Caenorhabditis elegans: one gene and its partners. The protein of the gene in region 1 interacts with the protein of each later gene in a biochemical or structural test. Each region holds a gene or a part of one and is shown on either strand. Other genes may lie near its edges.

The links. The genes of interacting proteins can lie anywhere in the genome.
Region 2: of the proteins of klp-7 (region 1) and air-2, one has a biochemical effect on the other in vitro, tested with the Caenorhabditis elegans proteins (one study listed by BioGRID).
Region 3: of the proteins of klp-7 (region 1) and air-1, one has a biochemical effect on the other in vitro, tested with the Caenorhabditis elegans proteins (one study listed by BioGRID).

What each region holds. Positions count from the first base shown.
Region 1 is NC_003281.10:10,802,577-10,813,070, forward strand, and holds klp-7 (Kinesin-like protein), read left to right. Parts: upstream 1-3,348; 5' UTR 3,349-3,353; coding exon 3,354-3,522; intron 3,523-4,905; exon of another isoform or gene 4,906-4,926; intron 4,927-5,461; exon of another isoform or gene 5,462-5,606; intron 5,607-5,764; coding exon 5,765-5,883; intron 5,884-6,023; coding exon 6,024-6,240; intron 6,241-6,288; coding exon 6,289-6,946; intron 6,947-6,996; coding exon 6,997-7,458; intron 7,459-7,508; coding exon 7,509-7,820; intron 7,821-7,867; coding exon 7,868-8,174; 3' UTR 8,175-8,423; downstream 8,424-10,494. Other genes in the region: sca-1 (Calcium-transporting ATPase), read right to left, coding at 10,375-10,494.
Region 2 is NC_003279.8:5,935,578-5,940,892, forward strand, and holds air-2 (Aurora/IPL1-related protein kinase 2), read left to right. Parts: upstream 1-1,899; 5' UTR 1,900-1,906; coding exon 1,907-1,974; intron 1,975-2,023; coding exon 2,024-2,132; intron 2,133-2,208; coding exon 2,209-2,576; intron 2,577-2,639; coding exon 2,640-2,913; intron 2,914-3,013; coding exon 3,014-3,112; 3' UTR 3,113-3,299; downstream 3,300-5,315. Other genes in the region: B0207.6 (GPN-loop GTPase 2), read right to left, coding at 1-300, 628-826, 984-1,091, 1,209-1,367. UniProt on the Caenorhabditis elegans protein: Serine/threonine-protein kinase component of the chromosomal passenger complex (CPC), a complex that acts as a key regulator of chromosome segregation and cytokinesis.
Region 3 is NC_003283.11:8,219,706-8,225,598, forward strand, and holds air-1 (Aurora kinase), read left to right. Parts: upstream 1-1,782; 5' UTR 1,783-1,795; coding exon 1,796-1,846; intron 1,847-1,890; coding exon 1,891-1,952; intron 1,953-1,997; coding exon 1,998-2,183; intron 2,184-2,236; coding exon 2,237-2,380; intron 2,381-2,424; coding exon 2,425-2,533; intron 2,534-2,575; exon of another isoform or gene 2,576-2,744; intron 2,745-2,808; coding exon 2,809-3,036; intron 3,037-3,073; exon of another isoform or gene 3,074-3,268; intron 3,269-3,332; coding exon 3,333-3,533; 3' UTR 3,534-3,877; downstream 3,878-5,893. Other genes in the region: cogc-6 (Conserved oligomeric Golgi complex subunit 6), read right to left, coding at 1-330, 379-614, 661-1,174, 1,221-1,361, 1,410-1,499; pax-1 (Paired box protein 1 homolog), read left to right, coding at 5,260-5,419, 5,667-5,893.

The DNA of each region.
Region 1 (10,494 bases):
ATTTAAAAAATTAAAAATCCCGGCTCTACACGTTGACTACACAGGTTTTTTATCGGAAAAACAAATTTTCAACAAGATTCAGTAAATAATTTTTAAAAAATTAAACAAAATTCTAAATAATTCAAATAAATTCTGGAAAAAATTAGAATCCCGGATTGTAAAGGTGGAGTACACAAAATTGAGGTGGCCTACAAAATGAAGACAAATTGGGATTTTCTAGGCCATGGGCTTGTTAAATAAAGCTGAAAAACTTGAATTTTGGAAAAGATATAAAGAAATAAGAAATCAAGAATAACGAACTCGTGAATTTTTTTTGGAAACAAATATATATAGAAAAAGAAAAATGAGAGATAAGGAGGGGGAGCTGTTATCAATAATTGACTGATTGGAAGAAATGGGTGCCCCCAACTGAAAAAGATGTGTTCAATGAGAGCAAAAACAACGGAAAATGATCAGGAAGAGAAAGAGAATGGGAGCGCACAAAAACAAGGAGCCGGACAAAATTCGAGCCAATTTTCGGAGGGTTACTGTAGTTTTCTAGGACGGGCACATAAATATTTTGCTAAACAATTTTTTTGCTAAACACGGACAACAAAATTTCGAGTTTCACGAAGATCTAGGCCAACTTTCAACAAAATTAATAAGATAGAAAACTCGGCCATTTTTTTCCACGGCCACGTATACCATTTATTCTCAAAAAATTTGAAACCCCTGTCAAAGAAAATGCGCTCTATTGAGAAGTCCACAAATTTATGTTTCGTGGCGAGAAGAGAAAACTAGGCCACCAAAAATGTTAATATATTTAGTAATTTGGGAACTAACGGGCTAAAGTAAATTTTAAAAAAATCAGTGAAGCTTGGCCACCGATATTTTATTCAGAAAAAAAATTAAAATTTTTATTTACAAAGTGCGGCCTATTGAGAAATTCTCTAAAAAATCTGGGAAAAAATATTCAAATTTCCAGCTTATCACACTCTAACTAGGATGAATTGCTGGCCGAGTTTTTGCGTTTTCTAGGCCACGTGGCAAAAATAGAACATTATTGCACTGCACAATATTTTACTATAACCAAAAAACAAGAGAAAAAATTGTTTTAACTTTTTTTGGGAGAAGTGTACAAAGTTTAGTTTTTGTCACTTGTTCTCCTTTTCTTCCGCCGCCCATAAACATCTAATGGGGTTATTCAAGTAGTGTCGGAAAATTAAAAAGTGTAGAAAAATTACGTCACAACTGTATTTAAATACATTTTGCTACATTACTTTAATAACCCCATAAGTTTTTGCAAGTTATAGAGACAAAAAGACTGGAGGAAAACATAAAAAATAATGATTAAAGGGACAACCGGCCAGGAAAGAAAAAACATATGAAGATGGGCAATAAAATGTGTGGTGATAAGCGTTGAATAGGCTCTCCAAATAAACTAAAAACTAGGCGTTAGGGTGCTTATTTATTAGTTTGGATTTTTAAGGGGGATGCTCTTTTTGCAAGTTTGCAGGTCTTTCAAAAAATCGCAAAAACCTCACTGTTTTTAATATATTTTGTAGTATTTTGTTGTTTCTACTAATTTTCATATCGAAATTTCTAATAATCCAACTGAATACATATTTTAATACATATTTTAAAATGTTTTTTTAGGAAAAAAATAGTTGAAAACAATGGGTAAAATTTTCAAAAAGTACGAAAAATTCTTTGAAAACGGGCTAAAATTTTGCCGTCCAATTCCTAACGAGACCCAGCGTTTAGGGGTGGTGCAACCTTATTACGGGAGCATAATATTCTGAGAATGCGTATTGGGCAACATATTTGACGAGCAAAATAAATTATAACTATATCTCGTAGCGAAAACTACAGTAATTCTTTAAATGACTACTGTAGTGTCGATTTACGGGGTCAATTTTTGAAATTAATTGCATAAATCATTTGTTCATCTATAGAATATTAAAGTTAAGCAAAAAAAAAGAAAAAAGTTATACGACGAAACGAAGAAATTCATTTTAAAAATCAAGCCCGTAAATCGAGCTACAGTAGTCATCTAAAGAATTACTGTAGTTTTCGCTACGAGATATTTTGCGCGTCAAATATGTTGTGCAATACGCATTATTAGAATTTTGTGTTCTAATGTAATATATTCAGATCGAAAGAGACAAATTTATTTCAAATTCTGCAAGTACTCTTTTAAAAATTCGAAAATCATCACTGTAAAAATGTGTGGAGCGAAGTTTTTTATTTTTTGATGGGAATTACACACACACAAACCGCCACCGGCAAACATAAGTCAATCGGATTAAACAGATTTAAATTGTAAATGGTAGAATTTCAAACGAAAAAATTGCCGGAAACCTAAAAAAAAAATTCCAGAACATGGGGGGAAACTTTGGTCTCATAATCAGCAAGAAAAGTGATAAGGGATCACTTTCTTTAATGGGACGCCGCCGCCGGCCAGTGGAAAAGGTTAAAAATGCAATGTGACAAAAAAATGATGCTGATTTTTCATTTTTATGGTATGTTTATTACAGACTTTGTAACTCTGAAAAAGGGCGTTACATATAGATATTTTGATTTCTTTCTTTGCTGGAAAATAAAATTAAAAGTAAGGTCTCGGCGCGCGAATTGTATTTTTTTCTTTTGCCTTTCAATGTGGAATAGTTTTTGCTTCAAAAAATTCAAAAAAAAACGTCTGAAATTCAAAAAGAATCATTAAAAAAACGATAAAATCGATAAAATCCTTCCAAAAAAGAACTACCAATCAGCGATTCGTTACGCCCAAATCTCAACCAATCAGACGGAATGGGCGGAGTTAAAGAATGCTGATTGGGTGGAAAGTAGGCGGAGTGAATCGCTGATTGGTCTTGCAGTTCTCATTTTATCTGGAGGGAATTCTCAAATGAGAACTGCGACCAATCAGCGACTTCGAACTCCGTACACTCCATCGTTGATTGGTCGCATTTCTCCGTGTTTTTTAATTGAATTTTTCTTGTTTTTTTGTGGATTTTTTAAGCCAAAATGGATAAAAAATAAAAAGAAAAAAGAAAAACCCAAAAAAAAAGTATTTTTTTTAATTGATAAAAATATATAAAAGCTGATTTTTTCAAAAATTCAAAAGTCCTGGAAAATCATATGGAGTCATTCTTTTTTATTTCCCACTCCATCGTTGATTGGTCGCATTTCTCCGTGTTTTTTAATTGAATTTTTCTTGTTTTTTGTTGTGGATTTTTTAAGCCAAAATGGATAAAAAATAAAAAGAAAAAAGAAAAAACCCGTGGCATCATAAATTTCGCATTGTCACGTGGCATTGTTTATTTTCCGTTCGGACAAAAAATAATGAAAAAAATATTATTTCCAATTCGATCCCGATGAAAAGTTGCAGAAGTTGTAAGGAAAATCCTGAAGTGCAGAGAAAACGAGCCGAGAAGCCGTGGCGACGGGCTCCGAAGGCCAAATCAGAAGTCGAAAAGCATGGAATCGGTCCACCGGACAGTGATTCAGGGGAGGAAATATCATTTCCTTGGTATAATGTGACCGGTAAGTGAGTCATCTCGACTTTTTCGGAAATAAGCTGAGAGGCTTATATTTCTTTTTGTCGCATTTCATGAACTTTCAGCCAGTTTCAGTTATTACTCAGATGTCAAACTTTTTCGTTTTTTTGAACTCGAAAATACGATCCCGACGCGACAATTTTTGTAATATGCAAAAAGGCGTGCGCCTTTGAAGAGTACTGTAACTTCCTAACTTCCACCACGATTTTCATCGATTATTCATGGATTGTCTCCCGTTTCCGCAATTTTTAAATGTGTTTTATTTTGTTTAAAAAAAATAGCGTCTTGTGCAACATATTTGACGCACAAAATATCTCTTAAGTTAGCGAAAACTACAGTAATTCTAATTCTTTTTTTTCCATTTTCATTCGTTTCTTCGCATAATTTTCTCATTTTTATTTTTATTTTAATATTTTAGCGATAGTAAAGTAAAATTTTAATCCATCCGAGCCCGTAAATCGACTACAGTAGTCATTTATAAAGTTACTGTAGCTTTCGTTACAAGATATTTTGCGCGTCAAATATGTTGTGTGAGACGCATTATCATAATTCTGTGTTGTAGTAATAGTTTTAGTAATAGTTTTTCGTCAAAAAATGTTCTTGAAAAGTAAATGAAAACTGAAAATTCCGCTTTGCAGTTAGAGTTACTATTTAAAGGCGCATACACAATTTTGCATTCAACCAAAATTTTTCGTGTCGAGACCTGGTATCGTACGTTTCCCAAGTGTTTATGTGCAAAGGTTACCCATCATAATCCTTTTTTGCTCCGTCTTTTTGCACCACACCCAAAAAAAGCAAGAAAGAGCTCATAACCATAGAGCAATGTCTCTCTGTCTGTCTTTCTTTGTGAGCTTTTCATGTGTATGTGTCCTATTTAGAAGCACTGCATTTTCTTTCCCTCCTCCACGTCTTCCGGCTCTCTCGGTCCCCCCCCCCCCCCCCCCAACTATTCCCGATTGCGAAACACGAGCTCTTCGGGAACCGAGCCCCCACTTCCAATTCTTCGTGTCCCTCATTTTATTGCCGCATTCCGGCGAGTCTTCTTTAGTTTCAGTCGTTTGAACATTTGTTCTCGAGAAATTCGATAATTTTTATTAGGGAAAAGTAGGTTTCAAATCGAAAACTCGGCTTAAATCGTTGAATTTGAAGGAAAAATTTAATAAATAGTGTCTAAAATTATAGAAAATTATGCAAAGCTTTGACAAAGCTTTGCAAAGGCGAGAAATCAAAAATTGAATTTTTCTAGACTTGTCTAATTGCCTCTGATATGTTTTGACCTACAATTGACCTACGATCTCAGGCGGGCGCGCACGAATTCATATTTTTGTTTCGCGAAGTTTCTCTCATTTTGTTTTTCCTTCGCTATCATTTTAGGTGGTTTTCGGGTTGACTCAGCCGGTTTTTGGCCAGTTTTTTTTGTTTTAAGTTAATTTTTCTTATTTTGTCACAATTTCTTTTTGATTAATGGCAAATAATTATTATAATCTGAACATTTTGCTTTGAAACTCGAAAAAATCTAGAAAAAGAATAATTGTATCGTAGTCGTTTTCTGATTTTTACATGGAATTCAAGTCAATATTCATGTTTTTTAATGAAAAAACATGAATTTTCTCCAAGAAACGATTATTCATTTAAAGGAACATACGTGCCTGCTGAGCTCGTGTCTCGTAGCGAAATTTGTATCGTAGTCGTTTCCGCATTTTTTAGTTTTTAGACCTTTTCAAGAAATTTTCTCTGTTTTTCGCTTCAGAAAAGATCCATTTTCGCGAACATTTCTACCATTTTTTTTACAAAATTATCCTGTTACATCGATTTTGATCGATATCATCAAAATACACTAGTTTTCTCCTCCAAAACCGTCTGTTTTACATTTCTGGAGCCCACGTTTCTGACCGTTTCGCTCCGTAATCCGTTGGAAGAAGCACTCCTTTGTGTGTCCAGACCCACCCGTCCATGCTGTGTCCATCGAGCGGTCGCCTGTCTGCGTTTCTTCACTCCCCTCGCCTATTTCATCCGTTTTCCTCCCTCTACTCCCCCTTCGAACGCAATTTTCGCGCCAATTTCCCAGCAGCAGCAGCGGCAGTACTCGCCATTTCATAACATCTCCCCCGCCACTGACTAATGTTTTCCGATAGTTTATCATTTTCTTTCATGGGATATGAACAATTGTTTCCTTTATTCTTACGCTCTAATTAACTCGAATCCAATTAATTTGTTATTATTTTCAGGTAAAATGCTTGTCGTCGGGATGCATGTGGAAATCAAGCGGAGCGACGGCCGCATCCACGGTGCCGTAATCGCCGAAGTTAAGTCGAACGGCCGGTTTATGGTGGAATGGTATGAGAAGGTGAGTCGCATCCTTCGAGAAGACCATCACTCGTCACAGAATCATGCATTTCGGATGTGATGCCGAACCAAAAATCATGCATTTGGCATTGTGTACTTTCTTTCTTCTCTTTTTTCTCTTGCAATCTTTCACATTTTCAGGGCGAGACAAAAGGAAAGGAATCCTCGTTGGAAGAACTTCTCACGCTGAACCCATCACTCCAAGCACCGAAGCCTACGCCGCCGCCACAGCCTCCTCAAAAAACGCTTCAAGCGTCAACTGCTGTCAACAGACAAAACGGGATCCATGCGCAGAGCATGATACTCGATGACGAGGATACATTCCTCTTGGATCATATCAACATGATTCCGGCTAAAGGTTTGTTGGAGAGTTCTGGTTTAATATGAAACAAAAATTGATTTTCAGGTGCTTCTGCCAACAAACGACCAACGGGAGCTTTCACGCAGCACGTTCCTGTTCGTATGGCTCCTCCATCCGAAAAGCCTCTCCCGACTCGTCGTGCTCCGTCACCGAAGGAGGATGCTGCTCCTGCACCGAAGTCTACTCGTACGACAGCAGCCTTCAAGCCAGATCTTGATAGTACGGCGATCACGGTTCCGAAGCACACTGCAAGGCGCACAGTTGTGGTAGCTCCAGCTCCGGCCCCTGTTCCTGCTCCACCAATCGCCAACATGACATCACAGCGAGCCCCGTCTCCAGTGGCAAGAGTTCCGTCGCCGAAGAACGTACCGCGGTCGTATCCACAACAGGATGTTCAGCCGTCGAATGGGAACTTTGCTTTCGCGGAGATGATTCGCAACTACAGAGCCCAGATCGACTATCGTCCGTTGAGCATGTTCGACGGTGTCAACGAGAATCGGATTTCCGTTTGCGTTCGGAAGCGCCCACTGAACAAGAAGGAGCTGACGAAAGCGGAGGTCGATGTGATCACGATCCCTTCTCGTGACATCACAATTCTCCATCAACCACAAACACGTGTCGACTTGACAAAGTATCTGGACAATCAGAAGTTCCGATTCGATTACTCTTTCGACGAGTACGCCAACAACGAGCTGGTCTATCGGTTGGTTTTTTTAATTTTTCAGTTTTCGTTTTTAAAAATGATATTTTCAGCTTCACTGCAGCACCACTCGTGAAAACCGTCTTCGACAATGGAACTGCGACGTGCTTTGCCTACGGTCAAACAGGATCCGGAAAGACGCACACAATGGGTGGAGATTTCTCCGGAAAGAAGCAGAATGCGTCGATGGGAATCTACGCGTTGACGGCACGAGATGTGTTCCGGATGCTCGAGCAGCCACAGTACCGTCGCAAGGATCTCTCGGTGCACTGTGCGTTCTTCGAGATTTACGGAACGAAGACGTACGACTTGCTCAACGATAAGGCCGAGCTTCGTGTGCTTGAGGATAAGATGCAGAAGGTGCAGGTTGTTGGGCTCAAAGAGGAGCAAGCGCACAATGAGCAGGATGTCTTGGAGCTCATCAACAAAGGAACTCTGGTCAGAACCGCTGGAACCACTTCGGCAAACGCGAACTCGTCGCGTTCTCACGCCATATTCCAGATCATTCTTAGACAGTTAGTTTTTGTTTTTACGTGAAGATTGCTTTAAAATTAATTATTTTCAGAGGCAAAAAGGTGTGGGGCAAGTTCTCGTTGATCGACTTGGCTGGAAACGAGCGAGGACAAGACACGAGAGAATGCGATCGTGACACGCGGAAAGAGGGCGCCAACATCAACACATCGCTGCTCGCACTGAAGGAGTGCATCCGTGGAATGGCTCGCAACAGCTCACATGTCCCGTTCAGACAGTCGAAGCTCACGATGGTTCTCCGAGACAGCTTCATCGGTGAGAAGTCCAGGACAGTGATGATCTCGATGATTTCGCCAGGGATCTCGTCGAGTGATCACACGCTCAACACACTTCGCTACGCGGATCGGTAGGAATTTTATTTATTTTTTGCTAAAAAAAATTCACATTTTTCAGTGTCAAAGAAATGGGAACCGACGGAAGCGGCGAAGCAACCCCAATTCGAGACGAGGAATTGTTCCTGCCCCCATCGGCAGACAAATCGGATGAAGAGTACGATGAGATGGTCGAGAAGCAAGAACATCGTCGAGTAGCGGTCGATCACGTCCGGAACCTGAAAGATATGTCTGAAAAGATCATACGCGAAACGACGATTGTCCTCTCCAACGAGCCGAGTGCTGCCCAGAAAGCCGAATGCCTCGCCAAGCTTGATCAACTTGCGCAGATAGTCTCGAACACCCGTGTCGCCGTGGAAAACGTCTGATTGCTGATTCCCGCGACGATATGCTACCCACTTCATGTACCATGATTATTACTCCCCGCCCCCCTCATTATTCACCATTTTCTATTTATTTTTATCGCATTCCTCCAATATTTTACCGTATTTATTTCATTTAGGGTATGTGAAAATTATTTGACCCTCCCCTTCCATCTTTTTCCCCTCTCGTTGTGAATATTTTACGGGTCCCCATTTTTTCTCGGTTCCGTTTTAAATGAACCATTTTATTCGTTTAATCAGTGTTCAATTTGAAGGTGGCTGTTCCGGAATTCATGCACAATTAAGTCGTTCTCTTGAGGCCCCACGAAAAGGGGAGCAGAACGAAAAGGGGATCTGCAAAAAGGAGATCTGCGAAAAGGGGAGATACGAAAAGGGGAGATACGAAAAAGGGGAGATACGAAAAGGAGATCTGGCACTGTGCCAAACGCTATTTTTCTCGAAGAAAACAATACAACGATGCTCCGATGTTACGCGTCGCGTGTTGTTAAGCGTATCTTCTAGAAGAAAATTTCAAAAATCAACGTGCGTTGCGTGAGAAAAATTGCGTTTTGTGCGTTTGGCACAGTGCCAGCTCCCCTTTTCGTATCTCCCCTTTTCATATCTCCCCTTTTCGCAGATCCCCTTTTTGCAGATCCCCTTTTTGCAGATCCCCTTTTCGTTCTGCTCCCCGTTTCGTGGGGCCTCGTTCTCTTCAAAAAATCGTTGTGATACCCAGCATGCTCCTTTAAACTTGCGTGGGATCCTGGTTTGTTCTGAGTTGATGTTAGGCTGTAATTGCTCGTTCTATAATAACGAGACGTGGTAGTCGGTCTCGACACGACACATTTTAATTAAATGCAAACGTGTGCGCGCCTTTAAAGATTACTGTAATTCAAAATGTTCGTTACTGTAGAATTGTCATCGATTTTTCATGTGTTTTTCACAATTTGTTAAAAATTCTGTGTTTTTAATAGTTTTATTTAACTTTTTTCAATAAATAAATATATTTTTGTCGAAAAACGATGAAAAATCAATGAAAATCCCGCACCAACAAAATTTTGGAACTACAGTACTCTACTCTTTAAAGGCGCACACCGTATCGCATTTAACAAAAACATTCTAATTGTATTTTATATTTTTCATAAAAAGAAAAGCTATAATAGTTTTGAAACTTTTTTATTTCCATCGATGGCGCACACGACACTGGAGGACAAACCAAAAATTACAATTAATATCGATTTTTAATGAGAAATGGGAGAGACAACGTACACGAATTTAGCAGAAGTTTTCTTTTTTTTTAATAGAAGAAACCTAAAGGAAATGTAATAATATTTCTAACAAATTTGTCTGATCACCGTCAACAAGAGGATATAGAAGAAAAAACAAAGAATGATGAGTTGAGCAAAGAAAAAAGATCCTAAAGATCTCTAAAAGAGATCCTTTCGATTTCGGGTCTCGAAACGAAAACGATCGCACTACAAAAGAAAAAAAATTGGAAAACTTAGAAAATATGAAAGAGTCTGAAAAATGAGATGGGCGGCGGCTGGGCTCACTCTGATTGAGGGAGCACTGTCATTTTTAGTCGCGTTTATCCTTGATTGGAGCTTCAACTGAAAATCACCAAAATTATTTCTTTTTCCAGGGAAATTTAGTTTCAAATCCTGCATTGCCATGGACGAGATCGACAGTCGACAAAATTGCACACCATTCGGTAAAGAAAAGAGGCACTCCCTGAACAGACACATTGGTTAGGTTAGAGAAAAAACAGAAGGAAGTAAGGTTTTTTAAAGGATCACTTTTATTTGTGAGCTCCTAATAGATTCACACGCAACAAAAATTAATTTAAAAAAAGGATAATAATAAATTATTATGAAAAAAGGGGAGAACAATGGGGATGTGGAGAGCGAGAGACGTAGAACTTTCAGTGGACAAGAAGGAAGGGAAACACAAAAAATTAGCAAAAAAAACATATATATTTGTAGGGAAATTGTGGCGATTTGGACAAAATACAATGAGCAACGAGGAAGAAATCCTAAAAGTAGGGAGAGGGGGGTTTACACGAAGGATTATGGATCAGTTAACACACTGCAGAGAGAAAAAGGGAAAAAGGCCCAAAATGATTAGAACAAGAAAGAGAGAGAAAATAAAGAGAAATCATCACAAGTTGTTTGAGAGGCGGTTGGTTTGGGGGTTAGAAGAACTTCAATCACAATTCGTTATGTAACTTGTCGGGCGTGACAACCGCGTCGAATTTCGACGGATCGACAGATGGACCGACGAGCGCATGGTTAATGAGCTCGGCGTACGGGCCCAACATCCACGCAAA
Region 2 (5,315 bases), on another chromosome or scaffold:
GTTCAGTTAATGAGAATCCATTTGCAGCATCAACCATTTGAATAACTTTCATCATTGATTCCTTATTTTCAACGGCAAGTGGTACAAATGAAACGAGGTCGAAATCGCTAATAACTCCACAAATTGCTTCATTCAATTTTCGATATTTTTCCAATCCGGGAACTTCATTCAAAAGATCCAAAAGTCGATTGACATCAGGTAAATGGGAGAAAAACTCGAGATCATAGGTCCCGTCTTCAGAGAAAAGATCTGCTTTTGACAGACAGTTTACTTGTGGCATCTCCATTGTTACCATTGTCGCTGAAATTGAAGCTTTTTAATGAATATAATTTTAATTTGTTCCTTTCAGCCACACAAAATTTAAAGTGGTTCCGAATTTCAATTTTTTCCATCTAAAATCAAATAAATAACAAAAATAGGTTTCAGATTAAATGAAAGTTTTATGTGCCAGAAAGATATTGCATTTCTTAGCCAGAAATACATAAAGGCCCATGGAGTTTCAAAATTGTACAGAACAAAAATAAATTTTCATTTTTTGGAGGAAATCAGCTGAATTATATTTGGAAATTTCGGGTCGAGAGACAAGAAAAGTATTTCAATTTTTTTTTAATCTTAATGAACTCTTACCTAATGTGGATAATGCAACAGAAATGAATTTCGATGGGTCACTGCAGTAAAGTGAATCGGCAAGATGTAAGGCACATAGTCTAACACCGGATTTTTCCAAAAAGCGGATAACTTTCCATAGTTCGCCTTCGCTTTTGTATAGTTCCAACTGTCCGGGACAATCAATTATCAGATATTTCTTGTGATTCGCTTCGATTTTCTGAAAAAAGATTTAATTGAATATTAAAACTACAAAGAGGTTAAAAATGATTTCCGATTTTCTCGATTCAAATTTAGAGAATTCCAGATTTTAGCTCAATTGTTGTGAAAACAATTTTTAGCTTTTGAGAATTAACTTTTTCTGCCAAAAAAATTACCTGGAGGAGCCAATTACAATTAGCTCCAAGTGTTTCAATACAGTATTTGAGAGCTCCATTTGGTCCAAGTCCAAGTCGATCCATTACATCATTCACAGTGATCATTTCCTAAACTTTAGTATTTTAAATGAAAAATATGACCTTAAGTATTAAAATAACATTGATAGATGATCTGTACCACGTTTCATAATTATTGTCCTATATTCATTGGAATAAAATACTTACAGTGATATTTACATCAGGTGCGTATGCCATTGTGTCATTAGCAGGATCAAGATTGATAGTGAGAAATGGTCGTTTGGTTTGTGAGAAAATGTCCGTTAATCCTGCACAAAATGTAGATTTTCCAGCTCCAGGAGCTCCAATTACAAGAACTCCGTACATAGTCCAATGAGTACTGAAATTTTCTAGTTGAATCTTAATTTTCTACGGATTGTTTTGATAGGAAAACATTTAAGAAGAACAAAAATATATAAATACAATTTAATTTAATTTAAAACAAACAAAAAAGCAGGATAAACGGGCCTGGCACAGGGCCAAGTACGCATTTACACCGTACATGACGACATATTGCGGACCATTGCATTTTGCCGCGTTAATTTTTTATTTAAACGGCTTGCATTTCTCCTTACTATCCAGCTGACAATTTTTAGTTTCTTTAGAATTATTTGCAATCAAAACTCGTTTTTTGTAAACATATTTACTCAGGTAATGTGTTGATTTCTCACTTTTTTTTGAAATCAAAGCAGAATTAGTCCTATTTTTATTCTACATAAATATCTAAATGTATTCAATTAAAAATTGGGCCATTGAACTTCTAATTAATTCAATTTATAAATTTATCGTGATGTTTTCTTTTAGTTAATTTGTCCTTAATCGTGCCGTCTATTTTATTTCTTCATAAAAAACTTTTCAGTTCCGACATGGAGAATAAGCCACCTGTAATCAACCTTCCAGAGAAGGAAACTGTGAATACTCCACAGAAGGGAGGGTAAGAAATCAAGGTTTTAAAAGTTTATAAATTATTCTTGATTTTACAGAAAATTTACTATTAACGATTTCGAGATCGGAAGACCACTGGGAAAAGGAAAATTCGGCAGTGTTTACCTGGCTCGCACAAAAACTGGACATTTCCATGTAGCGATCAAGGTAACATATTGATTTATTTTGTATTTATTTGAATTATCATTTTTCTGACATCCGTTTTACCCATACATATTTTCAGGTTCTATTCAAATCGCAACTCATCTCAGGAGGCGTCGAGCATCAATTGGAGCGTGAAATTGAGATTCAATCTCATTTGAATCACCCGAATATTATCAAGCTCTACACATATTTTTGGGATGCGAAGAAGATCTATCTCGTTTTGGAATATGCCCCCGGAGGCGAAATGTACAAGCAATTGACAGTGAGCAAGAGATTCTCAGAGCCAACAGCTGCAAAATATATGTATGAGATCGCAGATGCTTTGTCATATTGCCACAGGAAAAATGTGATTCATCGCGACATTAAACCGGAGAATTTGCTTATCGGATCACAAGGAGAATTGAAAATTGGAGATTTTGGATGGAGTGTTCATGCTCCTTCGAATAAGTGAGTTTATCCTCAAATTTAGGAAATCTAGATGTTTCCAAAAATTCACTGTCATGTTTTCAGGCGCCAAACAATGTGCGGAACAATGGACTATCTCCCTCCTGAAATGGTGAATGGAGCCGATCACAGTGACGCAGTTGACTTATGGGCAATCGGCGTTCTCTGCTATGAGTTTCTCGTTGGAAAACCCCCATTCGAGCACGAAGATCAGTCCAAGACATATGCGGCAATCAAAGCGGCACGGTTTACTTACCCTGATTCTGTGAAGAAGGGTGCACGAGATTTGATTGGAAGATTGCTTGTCGTTGATCCCAAGGCTCGCTGTACGCTTGAACAGGTTTGTTATTGATTTCAGCTTAGTGGCCAACATATTATCAGCACACAGAAGTACACTTTTGTAGTGTTCTTAATTATCATAATTCATTAAATTATTACAGGTGAAGGAACACTACTGGATCCAGGGAATGATGGAGGCAAAAATTAGAGCTGAGAAGCAGCAAAAGATTGAAAAAGAAGCAAGTCTTCGGAATCACTGATCAACTACTGATTTTCCCGTCCTTCTTTCAATCATCTCGTCTGTCTGTCAAATAAAGGATCTCATCACATTTACTAGAAATTTTAAAAAGTGAAATAACTTGTCAACCAATTTTTCATGTAGTTTTTGTTTCGCGAACTCTATTATTCCCAATCGTCTAACCCCATTCATTCAACATAAATTTATTTTCTTTTCTCGTTCTCCATCTTTCTCAATATATCTACAACAACTCAATTAGTACCTCCCGAGATTTTCTCCTTTTTCAGATGTCGCGTAGACTCGCACTCGGAGCAGCTGCTTCTTTTCGTTGAGGTTCATTTGCATTTTTAGATTTTTGAGAAAAAAAAAAAAATAAAATTTAAAAGCGACAAGAAAATTTCGATTTTCTTTAGGATTATTTTATCACACCGTGCGACTTTATAGTCCCAAAAGGAAAAATAACAACTAAGCTTAGTACTGAGTACACTTGAAATTTCAAAACATGAGGTTTTTGAAATTCACGTGCTCCAACAATTTCAAGCACTTCTTGTGCCCTTTTTAAGTCCTCGAAAACTTATAATTTTTTCAGTAAGTGGTGCGGGGACATTTTCAAAAAGTTGTTTTTCTCAAACAAAGCATATTTCACAAGATGTCATTCTGGACAACAAAAAATTAAATTAAATTTTTAAATTACAGGGAACTTTTACCGATTAAGCGCGGGCGGTGTAATTATAGGTTTCGATGATGTGGTACTTTGGCTATAATTTAGTTATACAACTAGAATTTTCTAATTTTTTTATTTTCTTTCGAGATTTCTGAGAACACATTTTTATTTGAGAACTCATGCTAATTGCTGAACCGTTTTCTCCGATTTCTTCAAAAATCTCACATTTTTTGTCTGATTAAGAAAATTAAAGTTTCATTTTTCACTTGTGAATAACGCATCTTTTGAAATCAGAATGCAATCGCGCTCCAACGCCAAATAGAAAGACTCCGCCCCGATAATTTGGGTCTCGTTAGGTATTTGCGGAAAATACGTAAATGTATTATTTTTCCAAAATTTTCATTCAGTTTCGTTGATTTCACTCGTTTTCAATCATTTTTTCGTGAAATTTTGTTGTTCATTTTATTATAGCAAAATATAGCCAAAAATAGCCAAAAATTCGAAAATTCTATTAAACTAGGGTAATCGACGAAAATAGCCAAAAGTATGACTGGCGGAGCACTCTGATTCCAATGTTTGTGAACCTTATGATTTTTCAATTAATGAACCTGAAATTTCGACGTACTTAGCTAACTGAATAATCAATTAAAAATAGTCCAAGTAGTGACGTCTCACTTTTTTTCGAATGCGGATATTGAAAAATCAGCTGCTGCCGAATCGACAATCATCGATCTCCTAACACTCTTCTTACCTGAAACTTCTTGAGTCACGGTTATTTTCAACAAAAAATGATTTTTTTATGTGTTGGTTTCTGCGTTTATTCGTATTTGGAACTATGTAGAAGTCAAGTACGAACATGCAAAAACACGATACATAACCAAGATATGGGCGGAGTCTAATACATGCATCACACAATTGTTAGAAAAACAATTTTGATAATAAGTATTTTCTTAAAATATGCTCCTCCCATATCTTGCCTTTTTTTTTGGTGTTTCATTTTCTGAATTTTTTTGTACTTTTCTTTTTTCTCATTATACAAGATGTACGAAATAATAACTATCTTCGAGTAAATGATTATTTGAACTTTTAATTTTTATTCCTCTCTTCGTCTTCTTCTTCTTTTCTTCCTTCCGCTCCAAAGAATACTCACACCACATATCAGCATATTTTGTCGTTTTCCTTGTCTAGTTAAGACATTCATCTCGCTTTCATATTTCTCCGCTTCTTTTCATTTAACAGGTGCAATATTTTTTTTTTTCTATTAACAATAAGATTTTTTTTTCAATTTTTATTATTTCAACAAATAGGCATGTACCAACTTTGGCTGAATTGAAACTTTTAAAAGTTATTTTTCATTAAAAACTTTTTTTTAAAAAATCAATTTTTTACTTTGTTTGCCTATTCTGAACTGCCGAGAATTTTTTTATTTCCGAATAATAATTGGATTACGGTTACAAAACAGAGTTTTTATGACACGCCCGCGAAAAAAATCGAAGGTGAGTTTTCTTTCCTTGGTGTTTTTTTTTACTTTTTATATTTGCTTATTTCAAAGTCTGTAGAA
Region 3 (5,893 bases), on another chromosome or scaffold:
TTCTGGTTCAAGAAGAAGATTCAAATCTCCTGTTTTTACAGCAATTGAAATAAGCCCGTGATAAAGTGAAAGGCATTGCCGAACTTCTGGGACTGGAAGGAGATCATAGTGTGGTGATGTCATCTTTCTCATAAGTCCGTCCACGTGATGATTTATACCGGCAATACATACTTGACGAACTGTTTTGACGAGATCTGCGAGCATTATTGTAAAATAACTATCTTTTCGAATCAAAGTCTCGAACTTGTTTGCATAGAAAATTAAAATATTTCCCATTTTGAAAATTGTGATGGCATTTTTTTCTGTCGACAGCAGTTGCTCTACCCTAATCTGTAAACTATTATCATATATTATAGTCCAATAATTTAAACTTTTTACCTTGAACGGCGAAGTCAAAGATTTCAGGCATTCATCAAGAACGATCGGAAGATTTTCTGCGGAACAAATTGAGCTGAACAACTGTTTTTCTTGCTCCGTGAGCTCGTGAATCGAAGTCAGCATATCTCCAACTGCCTTCAGTGGTTCTGCCAACCCTTCAGGCATTTGGACAGCCATTTTGTTAATTTCAACAAACTGATTGAGCAATTCTTGTGAGCGAGATGAAATGTATTGGTCTGAAAACTAGGTTAATGGTGAGTAGATTTGAAGAACTAAACGTACCAATGGCAAGCTGGAATACAGCATCATTCTGACTTATGATTTTGAAAGCTTTAGAAAGAATTTGCTTTTTCTGATGAGAATCAACTGTCAGATTTTGAAATTCGCGTTTCAGATTGTTACAGATAATTGCATGGCTTCTTTCGTCAATTTTTTGCATTTTTTCCATCACTTCAAAAGCGGCAAGATGTCCTTGCTCCTGAACCATATTTCTGCAGTTCTCGCGAATTTCGTGGCACCTCTCAAGAACTTTGAAGAAAAATTCCGATAGATGACCACTTTGTTCACATTCGTCTAATTCTCGAAGCTCTTCACTTGATAAAGAATAGTTTTCGAGAAATTCATTTATCATATTACAACGGCTTTCTATACTCGCTTTCTTCTCCTTCAAGCTTGCTGTTTTCTGCACCAAATCAACACTTTTGAACTTTACAGTCTCCATTTGCTTTGATAAATTCGTGCATGTGGAGTTCATTTTTACACAGAGCTCATCGAATTTTTGCACAATGTTATTTATCTGAAATAGCAGATTTAAAATGAAATGATTTCAGGTTTATTCTAACTTTTTCGAACTCGCTCAAATATTCCTTGTTTAGTCTCAACTCGTATCGTTCTAGTTTATTGTGTAGTTTCCTATCAACATTTGAATCAAGGTTCATATCTTCGACCAGTGGAGTGATGAAATCAGCAATTTTGATGCAATCCTGTAAGAAATGCCATAAGTTTCGTTTGTAATTAATATTTTAGCTGACCTTGTCATTATACAGCTTCTTTGCACATGCAGTAGTCACTTTTTCTCGTAAAGGATTGACTGCTGATGAAGTTTTATCGATTACTGACATTTTATTGATTCAAATTCACCGAATTCTGCGAAAAAAATCGCAGAACTCAGTGGAATAGAAAATGCAGAATTGATTTATTCGCAACGTGTCAGCAACGACACTCCGAAATAACAGAGCGCGTGTTGTTTAGCAATGCCGCTCAACAACCCGCCAAGCAAAATTCATTCAAAGTGACTGCCTTTGTTCTAATTTTTGACGTGTTCTTGAATTAGTCGCGATTTTCTTTTTCCTTTCTCATTAAATTTTTTATTCCTCAATTTTATTATAATATTTCAACTCGCAGAATTACATTAATCATGAGCGGAAAGGAAAATACTGCTCCTGTGATAGACGATCAGAAGGCCGAGGTAATTGTTATTAAAATTAGAAAGGCATCAATTCTAATCTTCAGGTTATTTCACTTACGGAAGATAGCAGACCTCAGAGAGTTGACCAGGCAAGGGAAGAATCATGGTGAGAATAATTGATTTATTACTTTTACAATGTAATGGACTTTAGCTGGAGTCTTGATGATTTTGACGTTGGACGGCCTCTCGGAAAAGGAAAGTTTGGAAACGTTTTCATCTCTCGTGAAAAAAAGACCAAGCGAATCATAGCTTTGAAAGTACTCTTCAAAACACAGTTGCTTCAACTTGGAGTCAGTCATCAGTTGAAGAGAGAGATCGAAATTCAATATCATTTGCGGTATGTTTTCTCGAAGTCATCTCATCCAAATCAATTAATCAATATTATTTCAGTCATCCGAATATTCTCACTCTTTATGGATACTTTCACGATGACAAGCGTGTGTTCGTCATTCTCGACTATGCCAGCAGAGGAGAATTATTTAATGTCCTCCAATCACAACCTGGACACAAAGTGAATGAGGTCATTGCCGGAAGGTGTGATTTTGTAGATATTTCAGAAATATAGTAAATTTCCTCAGATTTGTGCGACAGCTGGCCAATGCGTTGCATTACTGCCATTCGAAAGGAGTTATTCACAGAGACATTAAGCCTGAAAATCTTCTTCTTGATTCGAAGCTCAATCTGAAGGTACGCGTATAAATATGGTTAACTAAGTACTCAAAAAGTCTTCTGCAATGTTCTCAGTGCATCCTTTGGTTCTCCGAGCCGAAAGAAGTCACTAGCTGAAAAAGAGTTTATACTCTGATCACACAGTAACATTGCAATAAAAGCTTAGCTCGAGATGCGTGTGCCGTTCTGCTTTTAATGCGATCTGGTTCCTTTTCTCCTCGGGACAATTACCGTAAAAATTAAATTCAACACATTTTATGCATTCTTTCTAAAAAATAAGACTTGTATTTCAGCTTGCCGATTTCGGATGGTCCGTCGTTGCTGATCACTCGAAACGCCATACATTGTGCGGTACCATGGATTATCTTGCTCCGGAAATGGTTTCCAATCAGCCACATGACTTTAATGTTGACATTTGGGCAATTGGAATTCTTCTCTTCGAAATGCTTGTTGGATATGCTCCGTTCGCCAATCAAACTGGTGATAAATTGATCGCCAGAATCAAGGAGTGCAAGATTTATGTTAGTAATTATGAACTAAATTTGTTAGAATCTTAATAAGCAGTTCTCCAACAGAAATATGTGCATGAAGTGATGGTTTGGGTAACCATTTCATCTTTTCATGTCATATATCTCCTGCCTCTCACGGTTTCATCTGTGAGAAGCTTCAAAGAACTGCAATAGAAGTCTAGCTCGAGATGCGTGTGCCGGTTTGCTTTTAATGCAATATGGTTCCTTTTCTCCTCGGGACAGTTCTCAAACATTCATTTCCATTTTGTTTCCCAAGTAGTTTCATCTAAATTGCTTCTTTTTTGCAGATTCCAAGTGTTGTGACTGACGGAGCTGCCAGTTTGATAAATGCAATAATCAAAAAGGAACCCCAAGAACGTCTCCCACTTGTTGACATCATGGCTCATCCGTGGATTAAGGAAATGAAGCAACGCGAAGACATTGAAGTTCCACTCTTCATTTCGACGCTCACGAAATCCAGTCGCAATAATTCTACAGCCAATCAATAAAAGCTCTGTCTATTGTCCATTAAAGTCTCAACCTTTTCTACTTGTCTTTCCAAACAATTATCATCTGCACTTTCCCTTCTTTAGAACCGTATATCATACGGCTACTAACTTCTTATTTTCGCTAATCCATTTAAGCAATTTATCCGTTTTCATCCTTTTGTTTCTTCTCACACTGACAACGAGAAGGATTTAAATTTATCTAAATCAATTATTCTTTATTTGTGTGTGTGTAAAATCATTAGATTCCCGTGAAAGTACTGTATCGTGTGTTCCCGTCTGCCCCATTAATTTTTTCCCAAATTTCGCATCCAAGTGTCTCGATTATCACATAAACGATGGTGCACCTCTTTGTTCATTGGTTCTCAGAAGAAATACAATGCTTTCTGCTAAAAGCCAAAACTCAAACAGTGGTGGCGGTAAGTAGAAGGCTGCCGCCTTTTTTGGCACTGTTTTGTTCCGCCAAAAAAGTAGCATGGTATGCAAACATTATAACGAGTTAACACTACATTGGTAGGAGTGGGAACGTTTTTTGGAACAGCTAAAGTTTGAAACATAAAGCGGAGGTTTAACAACGTTAAGTGGTATCTGGCAGAGAGCCTTAAATATCGTACATTCGCAAAAACTTTATCCTAGCTAGGTGCTATGTGCTACATGAAAAATTCTAGTTTTTTCTGTACATTTCAGAATTTCAAAATTCGTATAGTACATTTTCCATATCAAATGAAAAAATCTGTAAATTTTGGAACCTCACTATGACTGAGTTCGTGCCGAGACCCACTCAGGAAAACATCGTGTGCCTTTTAACTGATATCTCAGCATTTCGTGAAAATACAATATAAACATTTCTTTCTAATGTTTAATAATAACTGTAATCCTTGAAATGAACTGATCAATTAGATACTAGAATAATGCACAAAAATGTTTAATATTTGCGCGAATAACTGGTCGTTACCATCTGGTTGTTACATATCCGGTGATTACTAACCATTTATTTGATGGAGATTTGGATATATGTAGTCAATTTAGGTGAGTACAAACAAGATGACCCGTAGATATGCACTAGAGGTGTTTGTCAAGTGGTTGATTGGATATGACGATATTACGTTGCTCAATTTTTTGAATTTTTATATTTATCTGTTTTCATAAACAATTTAGCAGCTAGAAAAAAACAGTGACATTTCTCAGGTGTCCGTGTGTTCCATGCCTTCGAAATCGAAGAAAATCACGCAGTCGTTGGTGGAAAAGCAATGCCGTCACATGTGGACTGAGATGTACTAAAAAACCTAAGAATAAATACCGTATCAACACCTGGATTTGACAAGTTTATGTCAAAACAGTTTATTCTTCAGAAATTAACACCACAGGAGTCTATAGGCTTCGAAAAGATTTGTGACGTCAGATATTTAAACCACGAGCTTCCACGACTTCAGATGTTAAAACACACCCGTGTAACTTCATCCTTAAATGGAATCATGGGTAAAACATTGTCAAGTTCAACTGCCTACAGTAACCAACAATCATATTCCCACCGGCTGGTTCCTATTTGGCAAAGTCCCATCGTTTCCCCCTAATAATCTCAACAAATACCTATGCAGCTACTGTTTGCCCCCCCCCCCTTGCCTTATAATAGGCGGAGCCTTGAGAGCTTTGAGATTAAAGAAGCTCTGCACGGACCAGTTACTTTACGGACCACGTACCGCATTGGTACAGTCACACTCGCTCGAGCATGAACTGCGACACCGCTCAACCGTGGATGATGTCTTCTTATCATCCATCAACAACATCTGATGTCTTCTGGACAACAACACCATCGTCTACTTCAACGACTCCAAGCTCTGATAATGGAATTCAACAATATTCGTCGATATCTACGTCATCGGGTTACGGTAAGTACAATTGTCTGTAATTCGGCTTTTCATTTAAGAATTACATGGGTTTTACATGGATTTTTTTAGTAACTTATTCCACTGGCAGTGAAAACCTTTATAGATTCTTAATAATTAGTTACTATATCTTTAAAGAAATTGTCTGAAATCCTTACAGTATGAGATGAAAGTTAAGACAATTCTTTCTAGCAATGAAATCAAGCTAATAGAAACTATCAGTATTATTTTTAACGCAACTTTTTATCAGCCCCTGCCAACTCTCCTGCCAAAACTGCCGAAGTTAATCAACTTGGTGGAGTTTTCGTAAATGGAAGACCACTTCCATTTGAGATGCGTTGTAAAATAGTTGAGCTCTCGAGACAAGGAACACGACCGTGTGACATCTCTCGTCAACTAAAAATCAGTCATGGATGCGTTTCGAAAATATTGACTCGGTTCTCAGAAAATGGAACAATAATGCCTGGAACAATTGGA